Linked DNA regions of Alligator mississippiensis. The protein of the gene in region 2 interacts with the protein of the main gene of each other region in a pairwise test. Links are inferred from orthologs where the notes say so. Each region holds a gene or a part of one and is shown on either strand. Other genes may lie near its edges. The genes, in order: NDUFAF4, NDUFAF3 and SNRPA.

What was found.
Region 1: the proteins of NDUFAF3 (region 2) and NDUFAF4 interact in binary tests that used the Homo sapiens proteins (3 or more experiments, as listed by UniProt). The two-hybrid records come from large-scale screens. The link is inferred for Alligator mississippiensis from reciprocal best matches to the Homo sapiens genes NDUFAF3 and NDUFAF4.
Region 3: the proteins of NDUFAF3 (region 2) and SNRPA interact in binary tests that used the Homo sapiens proteins (3 or more experiments, as listed by UniProt). The two-hybrid records come from large-scale screens. The link is inferred for Alligator mississippiensis from reciprocal best matches to the Homo sapiens genes NDUFAF3 and SNRPA.

The regions. Positions count from the first base shown.
Region 1 is NC_081824.1:82,861,014-82,870,823, forward strand, and holds the start of NDUFAF4 (NADH dehydrogenase [ubiquinone] 1 alpha subcomplex assembly factor 4), read right to left. Parts: upstream 3,868-9,810; 5' UTR 3,824-3,867; coding exon 3,688-3,823; intron 2,899-3,687; coding exon 2,810-2,898; intron 816-2,809; coding exon 522-815; 3' UTR 1-521. UniProt on the Homo sapiens protein: Involved in the assembly of mitochondrial NADH:ubiquinone oxidoreductase complex (complex I). May be involved in cell proliferation and survival of hormone-dependent tumor cells. May be a regulator of breast tumor cell invasion.
Region 2 is NC_081835.1:669,441-679,369, forward strand, and holds the start of NDUFAF3 (NADH dehydrogenase [ubiquinone] 1 alpha subcomplex assembly factor 3), read right to left. Parts: upstream 3,931-9,929; 5' UTR 3,895-3,930; coding exon 3,824-3,894; intron 3,749-3,823; coding exon 3,556-3,748; intron 3,474-3,555; coding exon 3,407-3,473; intron 28-3,406; coding exon 1-27. Other genes in the region: DALRD3 (DALR anticodon-binding domain-containing protein 3), read left to right, coding at 7,425-7,601, 7,704-8,005, 8,077-8,345, 8,527-8,585, 8,683-8,805, 8,934-9,004, 9,192-9,250, 9,391-9,473 and 1 more. UniProt on the Homo sapiens protein: Essential factor for the assembly of mitochondrial NADH:ubiquinone oxidoreductase complex (complex I).
Region 3 is NC_081838.1:2,383,109-2,393,096, forward strand, and holds SNRPA (U1 small nuclear ribonucleoprotein A), read left to right. Parts: upstream 1-6,246; 5' UTR 6,247-6,353; intron 6,354-6,663; 5' UTR 6,664-6,674; coding exon 6,675-6,747; intron 6,748-6,842; coding exon 6,843-7,015; intron 7,016-7,098; coding exon 7,099-7,275; intron 7,276-7,390; coding exon 7,391-7,561; intron 7,562-8,001; coding exon 8,002-8,090; intron 8,091-8,182; coding exon 8,183-8,342; 3' UTR 8,343-8,708; downstream 8,709-9,988. Other genes in the region: ACTMAP (actin maturation protease), read right to left, coding at 4,112-4,422, 4,690-4,760, 5,032-5,161, 5,267-5,391, 5,537-5,605, 5,722-5,921. UniProt on the Homo sapiens protein: Component of the spliceosomal U1 snRNP, which is essential for recognition of the pre-mRNA 5' splice-site and the subsequent assembly of the spliceosome. U1 snRNP is the first snRNP to interact with pre-mRNA.

The DNA.
Region 1 (9,810 bases), on a different chromosome or scaffold from region 2:
TCCAACAGCAAATTTTTTCATCTTAAAAATGAGACAGGGTGTTTGTACTGCAAAGCTGGATAATTTGGAGAGAATTTCTATGTGCTTGAAAATTCTGTGTGACCCTACCCAAACTATGTTACATAAATAACAATAAAAACAAGAATAAACTTTCACAGTAAGTTAATATATCATTGATTCAACTAACATCCAAAGTCATCAAATGAAAAACATTCTCTCACAAGGAAGTAGCAATTTCTTTTTAACTAAATCTTTCCCCCAGAATTGGATTAATTTGAATAGGTCATTTATTAATCCTAACATATTGCCACGTTTCTTGCAGATTTCAACTGCCTCCTAATCTAACACGAGTAAAGTAGATTATGAGCCAAAATATAATTAATGTGCTTGCCCAAATAAATGTAGGAGTCATTTAAATAAAATAACTTATTGTTACATTTCAACAAATTCCAGGACAAATGATACATTTTAAGATTAAAATGAAAACACCAGAGAAATTAAACAAGTTCTGGCAACCATTTTTACGTAGATTTGATATATTTTTTATCTTCAGATGAAGGAATTTCCATATTAAAAACAGCAAGGTATTTTAGAAGAGAAGTGACATCCTTCAGGTCCAAACTATATTCCTCTGCTATTTTCTCTGCAGTCCATGTTTCAGGATGCAGTCTATGATTATTAAGAAAAGTCAAAAGCTCCACAGTAGAAATTTTGCCTTTGGGAACGCGGTGAATATCTAGAGCACTATAACGACCTAGTTTTGTAAGTCTGTATTCCTCCTCTTTACATGGGAGACCTTCACCTTCAACTTTTACCTGGAATAGTAAGAAAAGAAAAGAGTTCAAATCAGTAGGATGCATTTATTTTGTAAATTGTACAAGCCCTACCTATTTCTTTAACAATAACTTTGCCTTTTAAAGGGGAGGGAGGGACAGGAAAGGGACACCCCTCTCCTGTTTACTAGTCCTAAGAAATGAATGCTCATGGACTGTTCCACACTCTCCTAAAAATGCTTTATTTTCCAAGTACAAAAGTTCCCAGCAACTATAGTATACAATGAAATCATCAGCAAAGCTAACTGCACTTTATCATGTATCAGCAGATAACATGACAAATAGAACCAAGAGGGTGATAGATTCTCCCCTCTATGAGGCATCGGTCAGAATGCAGTTGGAGTACTGCATCCAGTTTTGGGCGCCGTACTTTAAGAAGGATGTGGATAGCCTGGAGAGGGTCCAGAGGAGGGCGACTAGTATGGTTAAGGGTTTACAGGCCAAGCCCTATGAGGACAGACTAAGGGACCTGGACCTCTCCAGCCTTCGCAAGAGAAGACTGAGAGGTGATCTTGTGGCTGCCTACAAATTCATTAGGTGGGGTGCAACAAGGTATCAGAGATGCCTCTTGGAGTAACAAGGAACAATGGTCACAAACTGACGAAGAGCAGATTTAGGCTACACATCAGGAAAAACTTCTTCACGGTAAGGGTGACCAAAATTTGGAATGAGCTTCCAAGGGAAGTGATGCTCTCCTCTACCCTGGGGGTTTTTAAAAGCAGGTTGGAAAGGCATCTGGCTGGGGTCATCAGACCCCAGCACTCTTTCCTGCGCAGGCAGAGGGTCAGACTTGATGATCTGTTGAGGTCCCTTCCAACCCTGGCATCTATGAATCTATGAACGACCAAATATCTAGCACCCAGTGACCCACTTTCTGAAAACCCAAGCACAGGCAAAACTCCTGCAAACTTCAGTGAAAGTTCTCAGCCATCAACATCTTTGGAGGGGAAGTAAAAAGCTACAGATTTCTATATTTCAACCTGACTGTAGATGCTTAATGTCAAGTAATGACATGTGAAAATGCTGTCCTACATATTTAACTTGACATCATTTGCCTATGTTTGCATCAGAGCAGATACTTTCTACTCTTCATCTTCTAGTAGAACTTAAAAAGAATATAAATGGGAGAAGAAAGGATGACTTTTTCTGGAAACAGTTTCTTAGGTTGTAAAAAACAATCCACACCTACCCACCCAAACCACCTCCTATACATTTTACAACTTTCCTTTTCCTCTGGTCCAGTTTGGTTTGTTTGGTTTTTTTTCATTTGAAGCTTTGGTGCAGTTTTATACCTTCTAGTTTTGTTCTGTGAATTTCTCAAAATGTTCTTAGCATCTCTTCATACTTCCCTTTCCAAGTTTGTTTCAAAATCAGCTATCAAGCTCCCTGCTCCACACTGGGGGCTGGGAGGGAAGGGGAGGAAAGTAGCCTTTATGTCCCAAGACCAAGAGAACTTCTTGCAAGCCCACAGCCACTGGTTAACTCAAGTCATCAAGCATCAGCTTTTATCTGAGCTAAATTTTAAAGCATATTGAGGCTTCAGCCATTCACTGAAGGGTGAATCATTTACAGAGAATACTTAACCTCACACAGCAAAACCATCTTGTTTTAGTCCATTCTAAAAGTAACAGGGTAGATGAAGACACCTGTGTGGAAGACGAGGCAAACCAGGGCATCAATACAGACTGAAAGTACCCTTAACAAATTGCACTGGACCCCAAATTTGGGATTATATCAAGCAGAATAAAATATATAGACATAAGACCTTGCTGGCCAAAACTCTGCCTTTGTTAAAGTGGGGACTGCATCTGAAACAAATCAACCATCAATACCTATTTTTTTAAAACAGTTAGCTTCTGGGCACTAAGGCAACAAGTTGCACCAACTCCCCCCCCCCCCCCAGTTATGGATATCCTTATAGTTTGGCCACGTGAAGAACGGATACTGCTGTGCACTCGCTGCGGAAAGAGACTCACTTCCATGGGTGGATCCTTGGAATCGACATAGACATTTTTTAATAAGGCAAGAAGCCTGTTGTCTTTTTTCTGGATTTCATGTTGGATTTCTAGATAGTAAAAAGGAGAGAGAGAAAACACATACCATATACTCTCCTTGGCTTGCATTTAATAATAGCCAATCCCCACCCATCACCAGTTTGAATATATGGGAAGGTGAGGTGCCCCTGCATGTTTCTCAGAGGGAAAAAAAAGGCTGGTTGCTGCAACCGCTGCAACATCCCCAAGCTCCAGTGCGTGCAAAGGATCACACTGAAGCACTGGAACAGGTTTCCCAGAGAGGTGGTGGAGCCTCCATCCCTGGAGGTTTTTAAGACCCGGCCAGACAAAGCCCTGTCTGGGACGATCTAATTGGGGCAGGTCCTGCCTTGAGCACGGGGTTGGACTAGACCAGAGCTTCTCAACCTGTGGGTCACAAGAATATACTAAAGGGCGGGGAACCAACATGAAAAATGGACTCTCCCGTAAAGGAGAAAAACAGGGGAACCCGCAGCTTTTCCCTTGCAGCCTAGCACTGCCCCAGCCTCCGAGGGGCAGCTTGGGGGCCCTCCTGTGCCACACACTGGGGGGCAGCAGGTCGGGAGCGAGGGGCATTGGCCATCTATATTTACAAACGGGGCCTGGTCCCAAAAGAAGTGGAGATCCCTGCACGCGATGACCTCTGTCCGACCCGCGCTTTCTGTACATGTGGGTCTGTGACCAAAGGGCCCAACGCAAACCAGCCCCGGGCCCCGGTGCAACCTGCCACACCTCCCGCTGCTCGCCAGGACCCGTGCCGGGACCGCCCTGCATGGGCCCAGGAACAGCAGCTCCCGGCATGACGCGCGCGCGACACTCACCGGGCGGCTTGGCGGGCCGGGCCGTGGGGTACTGCGGCGCGGGGGTGGGCTTGGGCCGGTCGAGGACGCGGAACGCGCGGTTCTCCACGTTGAAGTTGCGGAAAGCGCGGACCAAATGGTCCCATATGATCCGCATGGCCGCGCTCACCGCCCAGTGTCGCCGCGCATGCGCAGGCGGGTGGTGGCGGCGGCAGAGGACGCCGCTTAGCGGCTGGAGGAGCGCGGGGCGGGGCGGGGGCAGACAAGGGTGAGGGAGGGGCGGAGAGAGGGGCGGCTGCTGCTGGGCTCCCGGGTTACCGAGAGGCTGGGCCGGGCCGGGCCCGCCAGGGGTCGCGGGGCCCAGCCCCGTCTGTGCTCTAGCCATGAGGTCTGCCCCACCTCCGCCCGGGGCTGCCAGCCGCCCCGTCACACCACAGACCTGACAGCAGCCTGCCCGGGCAAAGCAGGGGAACATCTACACTTACGTTGCTGCAACTTCAGGCCACTGGTCCGCGTCCTCCTCTGCAGCGAGAGTGAAAAGGTGCTTTCCCTCTTATTTATGGTAGCCCTTCAAGTATTCATGTCCCCTCTTAAGCATCTGTTCCGCAGAGGCATGTTCAAATTAAAAAATGGCTAGAAGCCAGCTCTGCAGTTAGTACACACTGTCGGGCACGGACGTTGTAGCTGGTCGGCTCTTTTTAGAGCTCGCTGGACATTGTTACAGTGTGATCATTACTTTGTGCATGTGGCCAGTCTCAACTGATTGCGCGATTGGCCAGTCAGTTGTGCAGTACATATAAAGGGTCGCAGGGTGAGTAGCAATATTTTACTCAGTTGCAGGAGAAACGAGGCAGCTAAAGGCAACCATGATTCAGCCTCAGGCAGGGGGTTGGATTAGATGACCTAGTCTAGAGAGCCCTTCCAGCCCTGCTTTTCTATGCTTTCTATGAAAAGGGAGGAAGAATCGGAGTGCTTCCCAAACCTCCCAAACTTTCTTTATCACAGTATCACAACTGGCCCTTTTTTTCCCTCTCTCCTCTGACTTACCATCTTGGGTACTATTATATGGCCCAACAGACAAAACTGCTACTTTTTAGATCTCCTGAGAGTACTCTGGAAGCATGGAGGTCTACAGAGTTGCAATTAATTTTGGAAAATAAATAAATAAAAGGAAAATGTTCTACCCCAACAGCAATGACAGATCGATCCATTATTGTTGCTAAAGAATTATTAGTGTGTTTGCCGGGTGTGTGTTTGTGTAACCGGATCTTTGTTGTTGCTCCTAGGCAAAAACATCTTTCTTTATGTCTGCAAACCTACACATAAGTTATCGCTTCTAGGTCAATACAGCTTTTTATGTGGGTGCATTAGGGTTCAAACTTTATCTTTTTAAAGATTCACTGACCACTAAAACTCACAATGAAAAAACCCTAGGCATTCAGCATCCCCCTCCCTTCTGAGTGGGGACCAGGTGGGTGCTGGAAGCCTCAGTGCAAGGAGAGTGGGTGTGCTCCCGAGGGAAAACTACAGAAGAATCAGACCACATCTATGACCATCTCTGTTGGGGTAAAGATAGAAATGTCCTCAAGATGGCAGGCTAATCTAGGGTTTTCATTTTGTAGAATTTCAGTCATTACTGTATGAATCCCGTATTTTTTCAGCATTTTAAAACTAACCACGGCATGGTATAAGAATTGCTGTTTTACAGCTGAATTGTAAGTATTTTTTTTTAAACTTAAGGGTGTCCATGACCCTGCACAGATTATAAAAATATAGGTCAAAAAGACTCATTAACATAAACATCTAAATAATCCAGATCAGTGGAAATGTCAATGCAATAGATACATCTATTTGAACCTGAAACCAGAATCTAGCCAAATTCTGGTTAATATTCTAATTGAATCTTTTTATAGCGAGTGGTCCTGATAGTATGTGGAAGAAGGCCATATAGCAGGGCCATAGAAATGCATAGGGAAACTAGGCACATGCCTAGGGCCCTAAGTGAAGAAGGGGCCCGGTAGTGCTTATTTTACATATTATAATTATTGAGTGAGAAAAATAGAGGCCCACAAGGTTGTTTGCCTAGGGCCCACTAAAGGGTTAATCCAGCCCTGCCATTCAGTGTATAATTCATTAAGTTTACCTTTTATTTTTATTACATTTTAGATTGCTCCTAAATTTATGACATTGTGTATGATGCGAAATAGTGGAGCCAGTCTAAAGTTGTGACATTTATTACTGTGTTGTTCCAATTACAAGGAAGGCTTTTTTTTTCCTTCCAAAAGAACAATAAAAATCCTCCTCTACCTTTATGTGGGATTGATGTATAATTGGAACAATATGTCCGTGTGACACTGGCCAAGCCATGTGACTCTTATGCGTGCTGTGCAAGGTCATCTAGTCCTTAATGGTGGCAGGCTCAACTTATATAGAAAAGGAGCTATGATGGCTGTGTGACCCATGTTGTCAGCATGATGTAGTTCTTAGGATCTACCAGGAGCAGGAGGCAAGCAGTAATCTCTCAAGAAGCTAGTAGTTTAGAAGTCCAAAGAGCCCTTGACCAGGGAACGTGGAGCTAGGCAGCCTTGCATCCCCAGCTGAAGCCACAAAGCCAGAAAACAGCCCACAAAGGAGGCACAGAATTTACACTTACTATGTGGTAGGAGCACAGAAAGCACTGTACAGCCATGACCAAACAGATAGGTCACACAGAGCCTGTAAAAATGGTGGATCCCTATCTAAAATAACTCTGGATGGATGTGGATGCGAATTCCATCTGCCCGTCAGTACATTTGTAAGGAGTGCTGCTTTTGATTAAGTGCTGTGCTGATTGTGGACACCACATTCACATAGGGGGCTCTCCAAGATGTTCATCTAATACTGTGCTGTTAAGAAGCATCCCTATCCAGCACAGCCCTATCTGTCTCTTTAGCTTGACCCATGCTTCTCTGTCAAAGTTGTGCCCAATGGGGAACTCATTTGGTGTTGGTATAAAATTCTGTAGGAATACATTTCAGACTAGATTACTCTGAATGATCATTTAATTTCCATTCACCCCACCCCTTATCTAAATTTAGTGCAATACACAAGGCTACAATACCTGGCCTGCTGGACTCTCTGTGGGCCCAAAAACCTGGTAGCAGGGGAGTGGTTAGGATCTGTCTTCTTATGTCACTTGGTCTAATGCCCTGGAGTACAGGGAATATATGTGTGTGTGTACGCTGTGTAGCCTGTTTTGAGTCTCAGTGCACTGTTAAGTACAGTGCTGAGCTTTTTAGTGCAACAACGTCTGGACCATACAGGAGCACAGTAATCTGCTGGGGTGTATACCATTGCAAATGCAGTGGTTCTGAGCACTTTGAAGTTGTTGTGCTATGTTTGCTAGTTAAATGTCTGAAGACAGCTACCTGTGCAGAAACTTTACTCCAGAACTTCTGAATGAGATGTGTATAGGTGATGGTATAGTCTAATGTGATTTCTTGGTAAGTTGCTCTTGACTCAGTGTGGAAAACTGATTGTCCATATGGAAGACAGATGATCCTGATTTATTGATAATCCCCCATGGATCTCTGGCCTCTTGAACACCTTGCCCTCACAACTCCATGACAGTGGCCAGGACCCCATACTGTTGTTGGGAGTTTATCTGTCTGCATTATGTTGAATGACCATAAATCTGGTTAACTGTCAACTGGCCACCCCATCGCTCAAGGTCACGTTGCTTGCCTGAGAGAGGCCAGTGCATTGATGCAGAACCACTTTGCGCAAAATGGCACCCAAAAAGACTCTGAAAGACACTGAAAACTTTCTTCTGAGCCACACAGCTGAGGTGTAACTAACAGTTGCAACTGTAGGTTTTTGCTAGTGTGTGTCCAGGCACTGTTCAGCAGAACACCTACTTATAAGCACCATGACAGGTAAGATGCAGCAGGAAATGGGAATTCTCCAATCAGACCCTCCCCCCTTCATTTTCATCTCAGAAAACTGGAAAAGGCTCATTCCTCTGGGCCCAAATGCTTCAGTTCCCAGTTCCCACAGCAGGGAAATAAAACCCAGGCATCCAGGTTTTCCCAGCTGGGAGGTGGAATGCAGGTGTTCCAGCACGTGGTCAGTGCCAGGTTGTGAGCAGCTGTCTGGCTTCCAGCCCCAGGCAGGAGAAGGGGTCCAGACAAGGGGACTCACCAGACAGGTATCTTAGTGTCTTCTTTGTCTGGAAACTGGGCACGGTAAGCCCTGTCGTGGAGCCCAAGATGCTAGATCCAGGATAGTCAGCAGAAGCATGTGCGTAGAGGGTGCCAGTGAAATGAGGACCAAAGGAGGACCAACTGCCCACTCAATGTGGGCAGTTGGATTAGACAGGTTGGTGATTGCTTGCACCTACACTGCCATGGCACTTGAATGAGCCATCCGTCTCAGGAATGTGCTGCAAAGGTCCAAGAATGGGGGTCTCAAGATGGCCACCCACTGTCTAAGGGAGGTCACTCTTGCTGCTATGGAGTTGAGAGAGTTGTAGCACCAGGATAAGGAGTTTATGCATAGGGTCAAAGACCTCCTAGGATCCAGCCAGGATACCTTTGAGTGGTGTCAGCGCTGCCTCCCACAGGGAGACTGTTGCCCTCCTGGGCAGGAGTGGTAGAGCAAGCTGCTACCCATCCCTCCCACCCCAGCATGGAGAGCTCTGCTCTGGTGACTCCTCTGTGGGGCAACATGCCACAGAGGCCAATGGAGGGGGTCCCTGGGTGGCAGCTGTGGAGGAACGCTTTACACTGTGCATTGAATTAGGAGATGCTGGGGGGCAGGAGAGCCCCAGAACAGGAAATCTGGTGCATGAGAGCCCCTGACCTGTGGTCCAAGAAGCCAGGAACACTCCTTGGACCACAAGTCAGGGGCTCCCATGTGCCAGATCTGCTCCAGGGTCCCCCAGTCCCTCTGCCCAGGTCCCACTGTGGGGGAGTGGCGTAGCCTCTGCGGGGATAGACAGCCCCCTGGGCTCATGTCCACAATTGTTATTTATTATGCACACATGATGTTTGGCAGCTATGCAATTTAATTAAACCAAGGGAGGCAGTTTCACGTGAGGCATTCTTCCTGCCACCCCAAGGTCTCATGTTTAAGTTGAGCCCCCATGGCTGCCCACTCCCTTCCCCCACTCAACATCATAACTGCCCAGTATAGCCATTGTCTTTCCCCAGTCTCTAAATGCTAACTGAGAAGATGGTTCCAAGTTCTGGAGCAGGCCACATTGCAGTTTTTGTTTAATAAACACACTAAAAGTTTGACAGCTTCAAAACTTGATTAAAATGAGGCAAGTCTTTCCCTCTGCCTACATTACCCCTCAGCCCTGGTTTGTGCCCCTCTGGGAAGTTGAGGAGGGAGAGGGGAAGAAGAATGGTGCCTGGATAGCCAGGGTTGTGATCAGTGGTGCCCCTGATGCAGGGCCAAAGGAGCCCATAGAAGGCGACCCATGGCCCAGTGTCAGGGTGTGGGTACTCAAAGCCCTCTGGCCCTACTCATCCAGGGAGGGCTTCTGGTCCGCATGGGTGAGGAGGAAGTCAGCTACGTCTTCAAGGATGTAGACAGCCTGCCGCGGTGTGGGGCTGCAGCCACGCACATCAGTAGCAGGCTTGCCCTCTCCCCAGTGCTTGCACCATGTGTGGTCATGATGCCAGACCTGGTCCATAATTGAAGTTCTTCCAGTGGTCCAGCTGTCCCCCATGGAGCCTCATGAGCCAGGGCAGGAGGGGTAGGCCAGGCCCCTTAAGAGGTTTGGGGGGGTGATGACTTCTTCAATGACAAAATCAGCGATCCCTGGAGCATAGTGCCCATGCCCCATCACCCCAGGGAATGGAGTTGTGCAAGAGGCAAGCATTGTCCTCATCAGCTGCATGAAACTCAGTGGCCCAGTTGTTCCCCAGATGCCTGGGGTGTGTGTGTGTGTGCCCAGAATGCCTGGGTTTTGTGTGTTGTGGGGGAGGATGGTGCACACACACCCACACACACACTTGGCAGGCACAGCATGCACTGGGTGGGCATACTCAGGACAGTCAATTGATGACTCATGGCAATGACAAGCTGCTGTTGCATCAGATCTAGGTGGGTGGCCATGATGTCCCCACCAGTCAATCAGGGGTGGCTTGGCCATTCAGC
Region 2 (9,929 bases):
GGTCACCTGTGCCCAGCACCAGGATTTCTGCATGAAAGAAGCCAGTTAGCGCCGGCGACAGGCCGGGAGGCAGGGTGGGGTGGGGTTGGCTTAACACATCTCCTCTCAGGAGAGAGAGGTCAGCAGTGGGGTCCTGCAGGGCTCTGTGCTGGGCCCGCCCGCATTACCAAGGGCTGAGGTTGAGGCCAAGGGAGAGGAGCTGCAGAAAGCATCAAGGCCAGCAACTGGGCAAAACAAAACAGCAGAGGAACCTCAGTGCTGGCCAGCTCAAGGTGCCGCGCAGGAGAAACAACTCGGGCACGGAGGCAGTGCCGAGCGCCGAACCCACTCTTATGACTTGGTCACTGACCTCAGTGCAGAGCTCTGAGAACGGCGGCTCCACATGCAGCAGCTGCCAAAAAAGCCACTAATGCGCCCTGCGCCGTTGGGAAGGGAACCGAAAACAAAAGGGAGGCCAAATCGTGCTGCTGTGCAGAGCCTGGGGCGCCCACGTCTCGACACCTGTGCGCACATCTGGTCTCTGCCTCTCCAGAAAAGGTGGTAGAGTCTTGATGGAGGCCTATAAACCATACAGGGTGTGGACCAAGTGAACAGGGAGCTGCTGTTCGCCACATCCCAGAAGACTGGAACTAGGGGCACCTGCTGCCATGGGCAGGGGACAGCTTTAGCCTTAATGAGGGGAAGGACTTGTGGGAGGGCAACATGGCAGTGCGCAGGCAATCCACAAACTGTCTGGGGTGCTGGAGAAAACGTCCTGGTGCAAGTGCTGAAGAAGCCAAGTAGGGGCCCTGCTCTCCTTGACCTGCTGCTCACAAACAGAGACAACGTGGTGGGGGACGTAGTAGTGGATAGGAACTTGGGCAGCAGCGACCCCCAGATGACTGAGTGCAGGATCCTGAGGAAAGGAAGGACGGAGAGCAGCAGAGTAAGGTCCCTGGACTGCAGAAAAGCAGAATTCAGCTCGGCTTAGCAGGAAACTTCAGTAAACTAAATCTCAAAAAGGAAGCTTATAAGAAGTGGAAACTTGGACAAACAACTAGGGAGGAGGATAAGAGCGTTGCTCGGGCATGCAGAGATGAAGCCAGGAAGGCCAAGGTGCAACTGGAGCTGCAGCTAGCAAGGGACGTGAAGGGTAAAAGAAGGGTTTCTACAAGTATGTCGGTAGCAAGAGGAGGATCAGGAAAAGTGCAGGTCCCTTCCTGAATGGGGGAGGCAGCCTGGTGATGGGATGCAGAAAAGGCTGACGTGCTCAATGCCTTTTTGCCCGTCTTCACTGGGAAGGTCAGGCCCTATACTGCACTGGGCAGCAGTCCGGGGAGGAGGTGAGCAGCCCTCAGTGCTGAAAGATCAGGTTAGGGACTACCTAGAAAAGCTGGACGTGTCCATGGGGCTGGATGGGATGCACCCGAGTGCTGAGAGAGCGGGCTGATGTACTTGCACAGCCACTGGCCATCAACTGTGAAGACTCCTGGCATTTGGGGGAGGTCCCAGTTGAAAGGAAGAGGACAAACATAGTGCCCATTTTTATGAAAGAAAGAGGATCCAGGGAATTACACCAAGAGCAAGTCATGCCTGACCCACCTGATTGCCTTCTATGATGAGGTGACTGGCTCTGTGGATGCGGGGAGACTGGTGGATGGGGGGGGTACCTTGATTTTAGCAAGGCTCTTGATATGGTCTCCCACAGCATTTTCGCAAGCAAGCTGAGGAAGTACAAGCTGGATGACGACTATGGCGGACAGGAAGCTGACCGCAGTGTTGAGCTCAATGGGGAGTAATCAATGGTCTAATGTCTAGTTGGCAGCCAGTATCAAGTGGAGTGCTGCAGGGGTTGGTCCTGGGGCGGGTTTTACTTAATATCTTCATTAATGACCTAGAAGATAACAGAGTGAACCCTTAGGAAGTTTGCAGATGACACTAAGCTGGGGGTGTAGTAGATATGCTGGAAGGCAGGGCTAGGATTCAGAGCTGGACAAATTGGGAGGAGCGGGCCAAAAGAGATCTCCTGGCACTCAGCAAGGACAAGTGTAAAGTCCTGCACTCAGGACAGAACAATGCCACGCACCGGTGCAGGCTGGGGGCTGACAGGCGAGGCAGCAGCTCTGCAGAAAAGCCAAGAAAGCTTCATAGACGTTAGGGCTGGAAGGGACCTCTGAAGATCACCGAGTCCAGCCCCGCGCCCCCGGGGCAAGATGGTTAGCGACATCCTGGGCTGCACTGCGAGGAGCGCTGCTAACACATCGAGAGAAGTGATTCTTCCCCTCTGTTTGGCACTGGCGAGGCCACGTCTGGAGCCCTGTGTCCAGCTGCGGGCCCCCCACCGCAGAACGGACGTGGACACATTGGAGAGAGTCCAGCGGAGGGGAGCGAAGATGGTTAGGGAGCTCGGGGACAGGACTGGCAAGGAGAGGCCGAGGGAACTCGGCTGATTTGGTCTGCACAAGAGGAGCCTGAGAGGGATTGAATAGCAGCTGTCACCTCCCTGCAGGGGGCTGCAAAGAGGATGGTGCTGGGCTGGTCTCAGTGGGGGCAGATGACAGGACAAGGAGCAACGGGCTCCGGCTGCAGCAAGGGAGGTTGAGGTTGGATGTGAGGAAAAACTCTCTCATGAGGAGCGTAGTATGGCACTGGACCAGGCTCCCCAGAGCGGTGGTGCAGTCTCCATCCTCGGAGGTCTTTAAGACACAGGCAGACCAAGCCTCGGCTGGGATGATGTAGTTGGGGCTGGTCCTGCTTGGAGCAGGGGCTGGACTAGACGTGATCCCACGGTCCCTTCCACCCCGGCTCTCTCGGATCCTATGAAGTCCAGCCCGTGGGAGGCGTGAAGGCAGGCAGCACAGGCAGGGTCAACGAGGGACCAGACCAGCGGTGACCGATGGCTGCACGAGGAGCTCCGAGACAGAACGGCCGGGCTGTCCCTGCGGGCGTCTCCCAGCCGAGGGTGTCGCCCTCACCCGGGGCCTCAGCTCAGACCCAGGCTGCGGGGCGCTCACGGGCAGGATGCAGCCCAGGGCACGGGGTGCCAGCCCGGCCAGCGCAGCAGCGAGGGCTCTGGCAACGCAGCGATGGTCCGTGGCCAGTGGGGCCGCGCTCCGCAGCAGGCTGCGCCCAGGAGGCCGGACAGAGGTTCTGGGCCAGATCCAGCACGCGGGCAGCGTGTGCAACACCCCTGCCCCAGGGCACCGATGGTGGGTGCTGGGGGGCCACAGCGAGCGAGCGAGGGAGTGCGGCCTGCAGCCGGCCCTGCCCCCCTCCCTGCGGCAGCACTGCTCGCTCACCGGGGCTGCCAGCTGCGGCAGCTCGCCCGGGGCCGGGAGGGGCCGTCGCTCCAGGCCGACCTGTGCCTGAAGCAGCAAGGGGCAGAGGGGAGCCCGGGGGGCCGCGCGCGCCGCGCCAGGGCACTCACGGATGCGCGGCATCAGCAGGCGGAAGAGCAGGAGGCTCTCGGACGTGATGTCCCGGTGCGACCCCACCTGCGAGACGGCAGTGAGGGACCGCGCCCGAGCACCCCCACTGACCCCGCCCCCTCCCGCAGCCCCGCCCCGCCCCACTCACGTTCCAGGTGAGCAGCGTGGCGGGCAGCAGCATGCAGGGCCCGACCAGGCGCGCCCCGGCCATTGTGAAGCCGTGCGCCGAGCAGCCCTCGAGCAGCGGCCGCCCGCCCGCCTCGCGCTGCAGCATCGACACGAAGGTGCGGGACAGGCGCTCGTCGTCCGTCTGGATCAGCCCGTGCGCGCGGCAGGGCGCCCTAGGGGGACAGGCGGTCACGGCGGGCGCCGGGGGGGGCACCCCGCTCCCCCCCCCGCGGCACCCCCGCACCCACCGGCCCAGCACGACGCGCGGCGACAGCCGCCCCCACAGCCCGTGCGCGCGCAGCGCCATCGCGGTCGCCATGTGATGACGACAGCGCCGTGATGACAGCAGCGCGGCGGGGAGGAACTGACCGCGTCCCCTAGCAGCCCCGCCCCCGGCCCCGCCCGCGCACCTGGCCCCGACACCCGCCACGCCCCCCACGCACCTGCCGCCCGCCACGCCCCGCCCCGCCCCCGGGTCCGGCCTGGCCCGAGCGGCTCCGCCCCGGGGCCCCGCCCGCCCTGCCCCGCCCCGGGGCCACCAGGCCCGGTCCCGACCCCCGCCCCGCCCCGCCCCGCCCCGCCCGCAGGGAGCCGAGGAGCCCGGGGCGGGGCTCGTCGCCGCGAGAGCAAAAGTGAAAGTGCGGCGGCGGCGGCGGCGGGGCGCGATTGGCCGCGGGCGGCGGGAGCTGCGCCCTCCCGCATAAAGCAGCGGGCAAAGGCGGCCGGGCCGGGCCGGGCCGGGCTGGGCCGGCACACGCGGCACCTGCTGCCCACAGGTGAGGGGCCGGGGCCGGGGCCGGGGCCGGGGCCGGGGCCGGGGCCGGGGCCGGGGCCGGGGGCAGGGTGGGGGCCCGCGGGCTGGCAGGAGGCCAGGGTCCCGCAGGCAGACCTCGACGCTCCGGCTCCCCGTCCCAGCACCGGGCAGCACCCGCCGGGCCCAGCCGTGCCAGGGCCTCGCCCAGCCCTCGACGCCCGCGGGGCGGGAGCAGCGGAGCGGGGCGTTGGCGAGCGGCCCGGGCCCTGCGCTGACGCCGACACCCATTTCCCGCGCTCCCCCCCACCCGGCGCACCGCACAGCCCCGCAGGGCCCCCGTGCAGGGGGCAGGGAGGGGCAGGCGGCCCTAGGACACCCTTGGCCAGGGATGGGGGCAGCTGCACGCGGGGGGGGTCCCCGGCTCCAGCACCCAGTGGACACGGGCCAGGTCCTCACATGTGCTGGCGCCCCCGGGTGAGCTGCCCTGGGCCTCGCCGCCGCGGGGGGCAGGCCCCGGGGGTCCTTCTCTGGGCTGGGCGGGGGCTGGGACGGGGCACGCGCCTAGTTCCAGCCTTGCCGGCAACGGAGCCCCCGGGCACTGACTACAGGCCCGGCATGGAAATCCCCTGGCAAGCCAGTGCGCTTCCTCCCTGCCTGGCCTGGCCTGGCCTGGCCTCGCAGGGGGGGCCGGGCGCGGGGCTGGCCAGCCTGGCGCGGGGGAGGGCAGCCCGCGCCCGGGGGTGCAGAGCGGCGGAGTCCAGGGGTGGGGCTGGGTCTCAGGTTTCTGGCACAGCCCCAGCACCAGGTGCGCTGCTCCCGGGCCGGCTCCGCGCCAGGCTTTGTTGCAGGGCAGTGCCCCTGGCACCAGCTCCGCACGGGCCCGTCCCTCTGCCCCGCGGGACAGGACTGGAGCCCGGCTGCAGGGGCCGAGCAGCCCTGACCCCAGCTCCCCCCTACCCGGGGTGCCGTGGGGACAGCTCTGGCAAGTCATCGTCCTCGTCCCCGTGTCCTCGCTCTGCCTGTCTGCCCGCCCCGCGCACGCTGAGAACGGACTCGCCCGCTCCACCCCGGCGTCTGGGCGCCCCGACGCGCGACAGCGGGCAACGGAATCCCAAAAGCAGCTGTCTTCCGCTCGGCACCTCAGCTGCGCTTGGATTTCGTTCCCTGCTCTCCCGCCCGTGCTCCCCCGCCCAGGGCCACCTCGCCGGGGCCCAGATGCCGGCCAGCCCCCACCCCACAGGAGCCCCCAGGAGGAGAGGGGGGCCCGCTGAGCCCAGGCTCTTCACCAGTCTCGTGCTCCTGCAAGCTAAAGATAGACCCTGGCTTCCTGAGGAGAAACCACCACAGCAGCAACAGCTGCCGCAAGCTGCCGGCCACAATGTGGATGTGGCCACCTGCAGCAGGCCGGAGCGGGTGGCGGGATCACGCGATGCACTCGTGCTTCCTGCAGCTCCAAGCGCGGCGCGGGGTGGGGGACAGACACTGGGCTGGCTGCCTGCCTGGGAAGGGCCCTGGCTGCCCGGGACGGACCCTGGAGCCGGTGAGGGACAGCCCTCTGGAGAGAGATTGCTTTGGAATGACACGATCACTCCCGCTGAGCGAGACGCCCGACAGCCATCGGGAATATCGTGTCGGTCCAAAGCTCTTTCGGCGCCACCCGGAGCAGAGCGCGCCCACGGGTGGCCTGGCCCGGCCTGCAACAGCCCCTGCCGCGGACGGAGATGGCCCCAGGATGCGCCCGCCTGGCTGCTGGGACGTGCTGCTGCCCCCCCGCCTGGTGTAACGACGCCGGCGCCTGCCCTACACTACAGCCCCACGCATCGCTGCCCGCCACCATGCTGCGGCAGTGGGGGATGTGTGGACACGGGTCTGCTGCAGCCACCGGCCATCCAGTCGGCGAGGCTGCGGCTGGCAGCCGGGGTGCCCGGGCCTCTTCCTGCCACTGCAGACAGTCAGCAGTTGGTCTGGCGTGAGCAGCATTCTCAGATCACCTCTTGGCTGTGGGTGGTGCAGAGAGCGCCGCACCTTTGCCACAGGCTCCAGCAGGGAAGGGGGCCTGGAGGCCTTGGCAGCCACCTTGAACTCAGGGCAAGGGGCAGCTGTGGGTGCGGGTGTGCATGCACGCGCGGGTGTGGGGGGTGCTTGCCCCAGCAGGTTCCCGTTTGCAGACGCACGTGCCTCGGCGGTAGAGGAAAGAGGAGCCGCTCCCTCGCCTTGTTCCTCTTTCGCCAGCGCACAGCCCCGTCCTTCCCAACCCGGAGCCCGACTCGGGACCACGGGCCCGGCTCCCCCCGCGCCTCCCAGCTCCCGGGCCCCGCCTCGGCCCCAGGCAGCAGGAGCCTCAGTGAAACGGGTGCTGTAAGGGGCTGCCGATGCACAATAAAGCTCCTCCCTGCCTGCTCCTGACTGCTGTGGTCGCTGTTTGCTGCGGGCAGAGATGCCAGCAAGTTCCTTCTGCTTTTGTTTCCAACGGCTTCTCTGCGAGGATCTAGACCCAAGGCGGCTGCGCGGGCCCAGCCCGGAAATCCCCGGGTGTAGCGCCGAGCGCGTGACGAGCCTGCCCGATGCCGCCTGGGCCTGGCCTGGCCTGGTGCCGCACCACAGCCTGGGCGTGCTTGGGGCAGCGCTGCGGGGGAGCGCCACATCCGCAGTGACGCTGCGAGGGGGCAGATGTGACACCGCGGTGTGGTGTGAACAGCCGTGGCTCTCAGCTCGGTCCTGGGCACGTGGAGCCCCCCCTCCACTCCCAGCCCCGCGCTGCCCCGGGGGAGCCGAGCCGGGGTCGCGGCGCACCACGCGGGCCTCGCCCACAGCCCGGGGAAGGCGCCACTGTTGCCACGCCCAACATGGCCTCTGCCCCGCCCCCACCGCGCCACACCCAACATGGCCGCCGCCGCCCCTTGCTTGGCCCAAGATGGCCGCTTACCCGCGTCCAAGATGGCTGCCCGCCGCGCGCTGAGCCACATCCAAGATGCCCGCCGCAGCTCGCCCTTCCGCGCCGTGACCTCACTGCCGCGCGCCGGAAGTGGCCGTTCGTCCGTTGTCACGCCGCGGCTCCGGCCCGGGGTTCCGGGGTCGGCGGCGGCCCGGCAGTCATGGAGACGGGCGAGGCCCGGCTGGCCGTGGCGGACACGCTGGCGGCGCTGAACGCGGCGCTGCGGCGGGACGCGGGCCCCGGGCTCTGGTTTAAGGAGACCAGCGCCCGCAACCTGCGCAGCCGCGACTTCCTGGCGCCGCGCGGCGCGCTGCGCACGCTCTTCCCCGGCGGCCAGGTCGGGGGCGGGGCCTGGGCGAAGGGGCGGGGCCTGCGCAGCCCGGCACGTGCCCAGCGCGGCACGAGGGCCGGGCCGGGGCTCACGGCGCTGTCCCCGCAGGTGCCCGGGGCGGCGGTGGAGGCAGTGCAGGCACTGCGGGGCGCGGCGGTGCCGCCGGTGCGGAGCTGCCAGCAGGGCGTGGCGGGGCTGGCCGTGCAGCTGCACCGCACTGCCGTCTTCCGCCACGTCCTGGCCTCCGCCGACACCTACGCCCGGCCGCCGCCGCCTGCCGCTGCGGTGTCGCCGCGCGTGGTCCTGCACTGCGCCGCCCTGCAGCGCCGCCGCCCCGCGCCGCTCGGCCTGGCCCAGCTGCGCGCCGTCCTGCTGACCGACCACCTGGCTGCGGTGCTCCGGGCATGCGGGTCAGTGGGGCGCTGCCCGGCTTGGGGGGGCGCTCAGGCCTGGCCCCCGTGCTCACGCATTGGTCTCGCAGGGCGAACGTGCGCCTGGTCCCGGCTGCCCCTGAGGACAGCGTCCGCGAGCTCCTGGGCCAGCTGGGGGTGGACTGGCCCTGGGCGCCCGAAGCGCCGTCCCCCCCGGAGGCTGTGGCAGCCTGGAAACGAGCGCTCAGCCAGTGCCCGCACGCCACGGCGAGGGAGCCGGGCCCAGGGGCCGACGGGACGCTGTTTGTGGTGCGCCTGAGGAGCTTCCTGGAGCAGCGGGGCCTGCAGGGCTACGACCCCAGCCTGGACGTCCTCCGGGGTAGCGTTGCTGGTGGCGGGCACGGGGCGGCGGCAGGGCGTGCTTCCTTGCCCAGCGGCAGCGTGCGGCTGGATTGGCGCTTTCTGCCCCGCCGCACGGAGGCAGGACGCCAAGGCAGAAGCCTGTGGGGCGGGGCAGATGGAGAGAGAGGGCCCCTTGCAGAGCTCTTCCCTCCCCGCAGTGACCGAGGAGGAGCTGCGAGCGCTGGCAGAGGTGGAGCGCGCGGCCCAGCGCAGCCTGGTGAGTAGCTGTGCTGCCGCGGCCTGGGCAGCGCGCGGGGGTCGCGGGGCTCGGAGCACACGCGAAGCAGCCCCTGCTGCCCTCGCGCTGTGCGCAGGCCGAGGCCCCGGGGAGCGCCTGCACCGTGCTGCACGTGGTGAGCGGCGAGGAGGAGCTGCAGCAGCAGAAGGCCGACTTGCTCTGGAGGATGCTGGAGCCTGGGGCGCTCTCTGCCGCACAGGTGAGGGGCAGCGTTGGCCTCGTGCCCACCCGAGGGCAGTGGGGGGAGCTCGACCTGCTGTGCTCCCCGGCGAGGGGGCAGGGGCTCGGCTGTCCCCAGCCCAGGCTGATCTCTTCTCTCTCTTTCAGAAACACCTCGTGTGCGGGCCAGTGAAGGCTACAAGCGCTTCACTCCCTGAAGGGGCCTCGCAGTACTACCAGTAAGTGGGGGTCACCAGTCGCTCCCCGGTGCTGCCTGCTGTTGCACTCTGCCAGGGGCGGCACCCAGCGCTGCGGTCGCTGCCTCGGCCAGGCCACGGGTGCTGCTGTTGGCTCTGCCAGCAGGGCCAGGCTCGGCGGTCGCAGCCACGGGGCTGCCTGGGCTCTCACCTGCACTCATCTCCCCAGGCTGCGCCAGCGCCAGCTGCACAAAGCCTCGGTGATGAAGTACGGAGACCTCGCCCATGGTAACGTGTCGCCCGCCACTGGGGGAGAGGAGCTGCTAGCACCCCGGGGCCCTGCCTGGCACATGCAGGAGCAGGCGGTGCGAGGGGAGGCAGAGGTCAGTACCTGCAGCGTCCCTACTCTGCCCCCCTCCTCCGCACAGACGAGTCCTGGACCGAGGTCAGCAGGGTCCTGACCTCCGCAGCCATCCGCTTTGAGATGTTGAGCACAGCCCACCGCAGCCAGGTGAGAGCCACGAGGCTGCCTCATGCCCAAGGACAGCAGCACGGTGCCCCCAGCCAAGCGCCCAGGGTCTCTGCGGACGGGATGACATTGCAGGGCCTTCCCCAGGGCACAGGGGTCCAGGGCTCCCTGGAGCAGGGGTAGGCCGAACTTGGTATTGGGGAGCAGGGAGGTGGGGGACCAGGTGGCCTCTCCCCACAGATCACGCTGGACCTGGCAGATGGCGGCATCTCCACCAAGGGCACCCGGAGTGGGGCCTTTGTGATGTACAACTGCGCCCGGCTGGCCACACTCTTCCAGATGTACCAGCAGGCTGTAGAGCAAGGTGAGCGTGCGCCAGCCCTGCCGGCAGGGTGGGGGAAGTGCTGGCAGGTGGGCCCAGGCTGGGGCTCCGTGCCTAGAGGGTCGCTTGAAGGACTGCAGGGGTGGGAGCGTGGATCTGGCAGGCTGGGCTGTGGA
Region 3 (9,988 bases), on a different chromosome or scaffold from region 2:
AAGAACGGGGCGGTACGGGACCCACACACCTGGTGGAAGAGGATGCCAAGGTCCACGCCTCCCACTCGCCTGGGTCCTTAATCCGTGTGCTTTTCCCAGGCCTGGCGGAGGCCCAGAGACAGGGAAGCTGAGCCCCTGTGCCAGGACGGGGGCTCTGGAGGGCGGTCCGGGCTCCGCCCTGGGTTTTGGGGCCAGTCCAGCTTGGCACAATGTGTTGTTCCCAGGGCAGGGGAGGCTCGACTAATCCCAGCTGCCAGTGTTGGGGCGGATGCGGGAGCAGAAGCAGGAGGGAGTGCCCGCTTTCTGTGGGCGGCCCCCCTCAGCCCCCGCCCCAGGGCAGCCGAAGGACACATCAGCAGCCCCCTCCCCGGCACACGGCCGACGTGGGAGCTGCCCTGGCATTGCACAGCCGCCAGCACCAGCCAGGATTGGGGCCCCGCTTGCACCCGGAGCAGCCCGGCCCCTCCAAGGGCTTCCCGGCGTCTCTTTGTGGCTAACGAACAAGCCTGGCTGCGGTGTTCAGACCGGTTCCGGGCTCTGGCCCGGGGTGCAGCTCCCTGCTGCTGAGATTACCCTGCCCTCGCTTGCCTCGGTTTTCCCATCTGTACAAGGGGCAATGGTGGCCTAGGCAGCCATGCCCAACCCCCACCCCCGCAAAATAAACCCCAGCACATGCACCCCTGGGGGAGTTATGAGCTGGTTTGGTCTCAGCCCACGCAGCTCCATGGGCGCAAAGGGGCATCCGGGCAAGGAGGGGGCACCCTGATGGGCCCGATCCGGATCCGCAGCTCCGGCTGTGCCATGTGCACAAGGCGCCCCCTGGTGGCCCTCATGTGTCCCAGCCTGCCCAGCTCACACGGCTGCTGGGGTTGGCACGGAGGCCCGCCCGCTCCTCCAGGCTAGTGCAGGCAGCGCCAAGCTCATGGGACTGGGAGGGGGCAATGCACCATAAAAAAATGGCTGCCGATGTCCATGCCACCCAGCTGCTCTGCAAGAGAGGACCCTCGGTACGGGATGGATGCCATCAGAGGCTTTTGGGAGGCACCGGGACAAGGCCTGGGTGGGCTCCAGGCTTTGAGCAAGGCCATGGAGAAGCTAACAAGGGTCCAGAGGCGGCAACAAAGATGCCCATGGGCTCAGAAAGTGCAGCCCAGGCGGGGAGGAGCGGAGCAGAGCAGCAGGTGGCACTGGGCTGGTTCAGACGGCGGAAAAGGCGCTGGAGGGGCCCTGGGAGCGGGCTGCAGGGATCCGAAGGGCAGTTGCAGCAAGGAGGGCAAGCGCCTGCGCTCCCCAGGGCAGAGAGGAGGACACGGAGCCATGGCTGGAAGAGGCAGCAAAATGAATTGATTTTGGAGATCATAGAAAATTCAGTTTGAGGGGCCCTTAGGTCACATCTATTCCAACCCCCTGCTCTTGCCCTCCGCTGGACTCTCTCCAACGTATCCACACCCTTTCTGTCGTGGGGAGCCCACAGCTGGACAAGGGACTCCAGATGTGGCCTCCCCAGTGCCCCATAGAGGGGAAGAATCACTGCCCTCAATCTGCTGGCAACGTTCCTACCGATGCAGCCCAGGATGCCGCAACAAGGGCACACTGCTGGCTCATATCCCTCTTATTGCCCACTGTCAGCCCCAGGTCCTTTTCTGCAGAGCTGCTGCCCAGCCCGTCACCCCCAGCCTGTCCCGGTGCATGGGACTGCTCTGTCCTAAACGCAGCACTTTGCACTTGTCCTTAATTGAACCTCAGTCATGAGATTCCTTTTGGTCGTCAAAGCCTCTGGATCCCAGCCCTGCCCTCCAGCGCATCTGCTACTCCCCCCAGCGCGGTGTCATCCGCGAAGGTGCTGAGTGTGCACTCACCCTGCTTTCCAGCCGAGGCTGATGTCATTTTCCTGGACTTTAGGAAGGCCTTTGACACAGTTTCGCACCCTGTCCTCGTTGGGAAGCTAGCAGACTGTGGAGTGGACGCCTACACGGTCAGGTGGGTGGCCAACTGGCTTAGGGACCGCACCAGAGTGGTGGTGGATGGTTTCTTCTCGGCCTGGAGGGAGGTGGGCAGTGGGGTCCCGCAGGGTTCGGTCCTCCAACAGATATTATCCAATATCTTCATCAGCGATTTGGACAAGGGCATGGAGAGCACCCTCTCCAAGTTCGCTGATGATACCAAGTTATGGGGCAAAGTTAGTACACAGGAGGGCAGGGAGCAGATTCAGGCTGACCTGGACAGGTTGGATCAATGGGCAGAGAGAAATAGGATGCAATTTAATAAAGATAAATATAAGGTACTCCACCTGGGAAGGAGGAACCCCCAGCACACCTATAGGTTGGGGAGTGTCCTTCTCAGTAGCTCGGAGGCAGAGAGGGATCTTGGAGTCATAATTGACTCCAAGATGAACATGAGCCGGCAGTGTAACGAGGCCATCAACAAGGCCAGTCACATCTTGAAGTGCATTAGCAGCTGCATGACTAATAGATCAAAGGAGGCGATGCTCCCCCTCTATGCGGCACTGGCCAGGCCGCAGTTGGAGTAGTGTGTCCAGCTCTGGGCGCCGCACTTCAAGAGAGATGCAGGGAATCTGGAGAGGGTCCAGAGGAGGCCACTCGCATGATGAGTGGCCTTCGTGATAGACCCTACGGGGGGAGGTTGAAAGACCTGATTCTCTTCAGCCTTCACAAGAGATGGCTGAGGGGACATCTTGTGGCCGCCTATAAATTTATTAGGGGAGGTCAACGGGGAATAGGGGAAGTGCTGTTTACTAGGGTGCCCCAGGGAGTGACTAGGAATAACAGGTGTAAACTAGTTGAGAGGGGATTTAGGTTAGATATTAGGAAGAAATTTTTCACAGTAAGGGTGGCCAGGATCTGAAATGGGCTCCCAAGAGAGGTGGTGCTTTCACCTAGCTTGGAGGTCTTCAAGAGGAGGATAGATAGTCACCTGGCTGGGGTCGTCTGACCTCGGTCCTCTTTCCTGCCAGGGGCAGGGGCTCAGACACGATGATCCATTTGGTCCCTTCTGACTCGACAATCTATGAATCTATGACACTGAACACAACTGCCTCCGGTCCCTCCACCTGATACAGAAACACTTCCTCCAGGGCAGAGCAGGGGTCCGCAGGGTGGACACCAGGCATCGGTGGGGGGACGCCCCGTCCATGTGTCAGGGGGGTTTTAAGCCCCCCCAGAGGTGCTACCTGCAGCTCAGGCTGGGGATGAGGACCGGACTATGCCAATGCAATCTGCAGGGTCCCGCACCTGTGCTCAGGCTCAGCCCCACATTGCACTGGGGCAGATGCTCAGCCTGGCACAGTCCCCTCTGTAGCGGGGGTGCAGCCTCGGCCTGGGGGCTCTTCAGCAATTACTGACAGGTCACAGCAGCACGACGTTGGCGGCTGCAGCCCCGCTGCTTTTCCTGCAGCAAACTCTGGCGTCAGATCCACTGTGTCAGGATCAACAGTATTTGATACACGCTGGATTAGTCCTGGCCGGTTTGCACAGGGCCGATCCTTCCTCCGGCCAGAGGCTAGACTGGATGCGACCTCTGAAGCTCCCTTCCATCCCCACGGCTGTAGGATTCAGCGATGCAGACAGGGCTTTAAATCAATACCCGATAACCACAACTCAAGGATAGGAACAGCCTCTAAAGGGCCAAGCAGGAGGAGCGGGCAAGTCACGAAAGGGAGAAAACAGCTAGGAAAGGAAGAGCGCTCGACCGAATGAAGCCGTGGTGTGACCCTGGACCGTGAGAGCCGTGGGCAAGGCAGAAGGTAAGTAGTGCGTTTATTAGGATAAACGGGGTGCCAGCAGTCCCTGGGTCTACCGCGGCTCGTGGACGGGTCTTGAGCTGACTTCTGAGCCCAATCCTGGAGCCGCAGATCTGGCCGCAGGTCTTTCTGCAGCAGAGCAGGTGTAGGCTGGCATTCCTCTCCCTCCCCGGGGAAGCACGGGCCGGTCCCCAGGTGCCCTTCCCTGCCTGGCGGGGCAGCGTGCCTCCTGCCTCAGAGCACCGGATAAAGGAGGCCGGGATCCCTCCTCACCTCCTGGAGCTCAAGGTGGGGAACCCAGGCGTCCCCTTGGCCCTGTCCGGGGCTGGGCACGTCCCTGCTGACCTGGCGTCAGGGCCTGGGGTGCAGCAGCACGGCCTGGCCGCACAGCCCCTCCTGCAGGCCGCCCGCGGGCACGATGTAGACCTTGCCGTCGCCCGCCCGCCGGGGGCTGAAGTCCGTCAGCTGAGCGTTGCTCTCCTGCAGCTGCCCGTAGCCCCACAGCTGGTAGCGCCAGCTCTTGCCTTGCTTGGCCAGCAGGTAGGTCTCCTCCACGCCCGCCGGCAGGGGCCCCGGCCCCCGGGGGTGGAAGAGCCCCGGGATCTCCTCGTCCTCGCGGCAGGGCGGGCTTGGCGCATCGGGCCTCAGACCCAGAAGGGCTCCTGCGGGCACAGCGGCTGTCAGCCCAGCTCCGCTCCTGGAAGCAGCAGGATGTGGCCCTTTGGCCCCAAAGGGGTGGTGGGCTGTTGCCCCCCCTGGGCCGCAGTCTGAAACAGATTTCCACCCCCCAAGGCTTTGAGCACTCCCGCACCTAAGAGCCCCGCTACGCCCTGGGGTGAGGACCAGCCCGTGGCAATTGCCGGACACGGCTCCCAGACCCCTGGCACAGTTCACCAGCCCCGTGGCACCCAGGCCAGGCAGGACCGTACCCGAAACGACAGCCCAGTGGGCTTTGTATCCGCGCCGGCGGCAGGGCTCGTGGTTAGAGTCCTCGTCGTAGCTGGGCGCTCGTCAAGGCTGCAGCGGGGGGCCTGAGGGGATGCCCACGCCGTCGCCACCCCTCCCAGAGCCACCTCCGCAGCCCGGGGGCATTGAGCGAGGCTGAGGGAGACCTGGAGGTGGTGGAGGGAGAGCCACGATGCCCCCCCCATTACCCCTCCAAAGACACAGCGGACACATCACCCCCCCCCCCCCCCCGGCGGGACCCAGACGCCGCCTGCCACGGCTGCGTGGGCCCATCCCGGCTGGAGGGCCACGTGGGAGAAGGATACGGCACCAGCACGGGGCAGCCAGCAGCAAGGTGGCAAAGGATCCTGTCCCGGTTGGCTCCCTCCAAGCCTCCCGTGAGCAGCTCCGCCCGGCACGGGAACACCTCTGCCGCCAGCTTCGCCATGTCCGCCGCTGGGGGAGGAGGCGGACGTGTCTCAGACCCTGCTCCAGGCTCCGTCACCCCTTCCCCGGAGCCGGGGCATCTCCGACGCCAACCCGGGGCAGGCAGGGGCTGACCTGAGAACATCTCCCCCTGCGCCGTGTAGCCTCTGTCCAGCGCCGCCTGCACGATGCGCTCCAGCGAGACGCTCCGGGGCAGGCGGAGGAGGGCGCCCGCCATCCACAGCGCCACCAGCCCGCACCTGCGGGCACGGGGCCGGGGTCGAGGGGGGTCCCAGGGCTGAGGGGGGCATTCCCCCAGCCCCACGGCTGCACCCTGGGCCCCTGTGCCATCTCGGCTGTCCTGGGCCCCTGTGGGGTCTCGGCTGCCGCGGCTGCGGTACTCACTGGGGCCCCTCCTGGATCAAGGACGGCACGGGGCGGTGGTACAGCAGCCACTTCCGCCGCCCGCTGAAGCTGGAAGAGAGACGCCCGCCGCACTCAGCGCCCCGTGCAGGGAGACGTCTCGGGGGGCAAGGGGGCTACCCCCCCCGCCCCGAGACCCCCCACCACCACACTGTGGCGACCCCGACCTGGCGCGCCGGTGCCCCAGCAGCTCCCGCACGTCATCCCCGGTGCCGGGCGGGGGGGCCGCACGCTCCAGGGCCGCCTTCAGGAAGTGGGCCTTGGCGCCCCCCGATGGGGGCAGGGGAGGCAGGGATGGGGGTGGGGGAGGACGAGGGGGAGGGGGTGGGGCAGGAGGGGGCAACCCCACCCCGCCCTTATGGGCCATGGGCAGGGGGAAGGGGGGGCAAAGGGAGATTGGCCAGAGGTCAGAGGGCAAAGGGCATGACCTCGCTGGGGGAGGGGGACGGGGTCGCGCTGCCCGCCCAAGATGGCGGCGCCCGTGGAGGGGGCCTCGCGGCGGTCATGTGCCCTCGCGCCGTGGAGCGCGGCCGGCCAATAGGAAGCGGCCGCGGCCTTGACTGACAGCCAGCTGCCGGCTCGGGGGCGGAGAGGAGCCCTCGGATTGGCCCGTTCGCTGAGGGAGGGAGGGACGGGGTGGGGACAGAGCGGATTGGCTGCCCGACGCCCCGCATCGATAGGCTCGTCAGGGGGAGGCTGCGGCCCTCCCATTGGTCCGCCCGCGCCGAGGGAGCGGGGCCAGTCTCCGCGCGCCCTTTCGCTGCGGCGGCCGCGCTGCGCCACGGGCCCGGCGGCGTCGGTGAGAGCGGGGGGGCCGCGGGACCCCCATCCGGGCTGCCCTCTCTTGGGGGGGCACTTCCGGGGAGGGGGGAGAGCCGAGAGCCCCCCCCCACAGGCCTCCCTTCTGGGGGAGCTCCCATTGCCACGGGGAGCCCTCCACTTCCGGTGGAGCCGCCTCCTGGGGGGAGGGGGCGTCTGGGCCAGGTGCCCCCCCTCCCCGGGGTGCCCCTGGGTCCGGGCTGCTGCGGGGCCTGCCCTTAAAGGGCCACGACCCCTTAGGAGGCAGGACCCCCTCCCCCCCAGCTGACCCCCGCGCTCCCCCCCCGCAGACCCCGCCGCCATGGCCGTGCAGGAAGCCCGCCCCAACCACACCATCTACATCAACAACCTCAACGAGAAGATCAAGAAGGACGGTGAGGGGCCCCAGGGATGGCACCGGGTGGGGGGGGGACGGGACACCCCCGCCGGGTCCATGCCTAACCCCCCCCACCACGTTTGCCTCCCCCAGAGCTGAAGAAGTCCCTGTACGCCATCTTCTCCCAGTTCGGGCAGATCCTGGACATCCTGGTGTCGCGCAGCCTCAAGATGAGGGGCCAGGCCTTCGTCATCTTCAAGGAGATCAGCAGCGCCACCAACGCCCTGCGCTCCATGCAGGGCTTCCCCTTCTACGACAAGCCCATGGTGAGCGCGGGGGCCCGCGGCCCGGGGGGGGGACCCAGGCGGTGTCGTCCCCCGCCCGCGCTGACCCGGCCTCTGCTCCCCAGAGGATCCAGTACGCCAAGACGGACTCGGACATCATCGCCAAGATGAAGGGCACCTACGTGGAGCGCGACCGCAAGCGGGAGAAGAGGAAGCCCAAGGGCCAGGAGACGCCGACGACCAAGAAGGCCATGCCGGGAGCGGCCGCCCCCGTGGCCAACGCCGTGCAGGGCGCCGTGCCGGTGAGTCAAGGCCTGGGGCGGCCCCCGCCGGGCCCTCTTGGCATCCAGGGGTGCTACGGCCGTGCCCGGCACGGGGACCTTGCGGCTAAGCCGCTGTCCTCTCCTCCGCCTGCAGGGGATGGCGATGAACCAGGCTCCCCGCATGATGCACCACATGCCAGGCCAGCCGCCCTACATGCCCCCGCCCGGCATGATCCCGCCGCCCGGCATGGCTCCCGGAGGCATGGCGCCCGGCGGCATGGCCCCTCAGCAGATGATGCCCGGCCAGATGCCTCCTGCCCAGCCGGTGAGTGCCGCGTGTGCCCGGGCTTCGGGCTCCCCTCGGTCTTGTCCAAACTCACCCGTGGCTCCGGATGGTGAAGCTTCCTTGTTGCAGGGGAGGGCGAAGGACCCTTCTCCCCAGGGGCGAGTGGAGTCGTGGCCTTGCTGTCGTGGCTGGGGCTGGGGGCAGCAGGACCTGGTGCTGAGCTCCTTGCTCTAATGCCACCTGGGCTGGGGCTATGGGGTGCCTAAGGGCTGCAGGTCCCTGTCCTGGAGAAGCCGGCCCTGCTGGAGCTTGGCTGGTGACGTCTTTGCCAGTCTTGATTCTCGTCTTGCGGGAGGACTTTATGCTGGCAAGTGCCTGTCCCTGCTGCGGGTCCTTGGACTTGGTGCTGCTTGCATCCGGCCGGCCAGGGGGATGCCAGCCCCCGCCCTCCCCGCTCCGACCGGCCCCTCTCCCCGCAGGTCTCAGAGAATCCACCCAACCACATCCTCTTCCTCACCAACCTGCCCGAGGAGACCAACGAGCTGATGCTCTCCATGCTCTTCAACCAGTGAGTCTAGGGGGAGAGGGGGGCTGGGGCGGGAAGCGACGGTGCCAGCAGCCGAGGCTGCCCCTCACTGCTCCCCCTTCCTCCCCTGCAAGGTTCCCCGGGTTCAAGGAAGTGCGGCTGGTGCCAGGGCGCCACGACATCGCCTTCGTGGAGTTCGATAACGAGGTGCAGGCCGGGGCCGCCCGCGACGCCCTCCAGGGCTTCAAGATCACCCAGAACAATGCCATGAAGATCTCCTTCGCCAAGAAGTGAGGCCATGGCCTCCCCGCGTCCCGGTCTTATCCCTCAGGGCTGCCCCCATTCCCCTTTCTCCCCATGTTGTTTGTACTGACTGTCAGGTAAGTGCTCCCAGGCTGGCCCATCCTGGCACCCAGAGCCTTATGCACCGTGCCTGACTCGCAGCAGCCCCTTGCTCCCAGCGGGTAAGTGCCCCGGATGCCCACCAGCAGCTGAGCCAGCCTTGGTAGAGCAAGGCAGCCCCTGGAGACCGGGACCGGGTGGGTGGGGGAGGGCAGGGAGACAGTTGATGGCCTCATGGAAAGCATTGTACCCAGGGTCTGGTGCTCAGACATTGCACCTGGAGCTTCCCGCTGTGTAATAAAGTTGTTTTGTTTTAGAGGTCGGTGGGTGCTGCCCCTTCCTTCACCCGGGTCCAGGTGCTGGGTGGGGGGCGCTTCGGGGTGCACTGCCCACTGGTCCTGCTGGGACACCCCAGTCTCCCTGCTGTTCCAGCAGCTGCTACCTGATCCCGGGATTTTGCGCCGTGGACTGGCTGGCCACGAGGGCATCTAACGGGGCTGGGAGCGCAGCCACTGCCAGCAATGGGGATGGGGACAGTCCGTCTATGGAGCCAGCCCCTGCAACACCTTATTCTTCAAGGGAAACATACAGAGCCCCCACCAGCCCCTTCTCTGTGCACTGCTGCCCTGAACTGGGGGCTCAAACATGCTGGGGGGAGCAAAGCATACACTCAGAAAATGAGGGTTGAAGGGACCCCAAGAGGTCACACCTGGTCCAGCCCCCTGCTGAAAGCAGGACCAGCCCCAACTGCATCATCCCACCTCTCTTCGCCAGCCTCATTTTCCTAGTATCCAACCTCAACTTCCCTTGCTGCAGCTTGAGCCCATTGCTCCTGTCATCTGCCCCCACTGAGACCAGTCCAGCTCCATCCTCTTTGCACCCCCCTGCAGGGAGGTGAAGGCTGCTAGTCGATCCCCCTCAGTCTTCTCTTCTGCAGACTGAATCAGCCCATTTCCCTCAGCCTCTCCTCACCAGTCCTGTCCCCCAGCCCTGCATTTTCATTGCTCTCTGCTGGACTCTCCAGTATGTCCACATCCTTTCTGTAGTGGGGGGGGCCAAAACGACACCGGACTCCAGATGTGGCCTCCCCAGTGCCGAATAGAGGGAAGACACTGCCCTCGACCTGCTGGCACTGCTCCTACCAATGCAGCCCAGGATCCCATTTGCCTTCTCGGCAACGAGGGCACACTGCTGGCTCCTGTTCAGCTTATTGCTTCCTGTCCCCGTCCCCCCCCCCGGGTCCTTTGCAGAGCAGCCAGTCGCCCCTGGCCTGTCCCGGTGCAGGGGATTGTGCCCGAAGCACAGGACTTTGCACTTGTCCTTGTTGAACCTCATGAGATTTATTTTGGCCCATTCCTTCAACGTGTTGAGGTCTCTAACTCATAGCCCTGCCCTCCAGAGCATGGTGGGGGGGCACAGCGGGTGGTTCTGTGTCCCTGCCTGCTTGTGGGGCTTCTCTGGGCTCCCCCCTCCCAGCCGGCTAGCCCAATAGGAGCCGAGCCTGGAGGAGGTCTTGCTTTTCCCCTCCTACCCCCAGCCCCTTTGCCGCTGGGAAGAGCAGACAAGGGCCCCACTGTGCTGGGGCTGCTCCGTGGCAG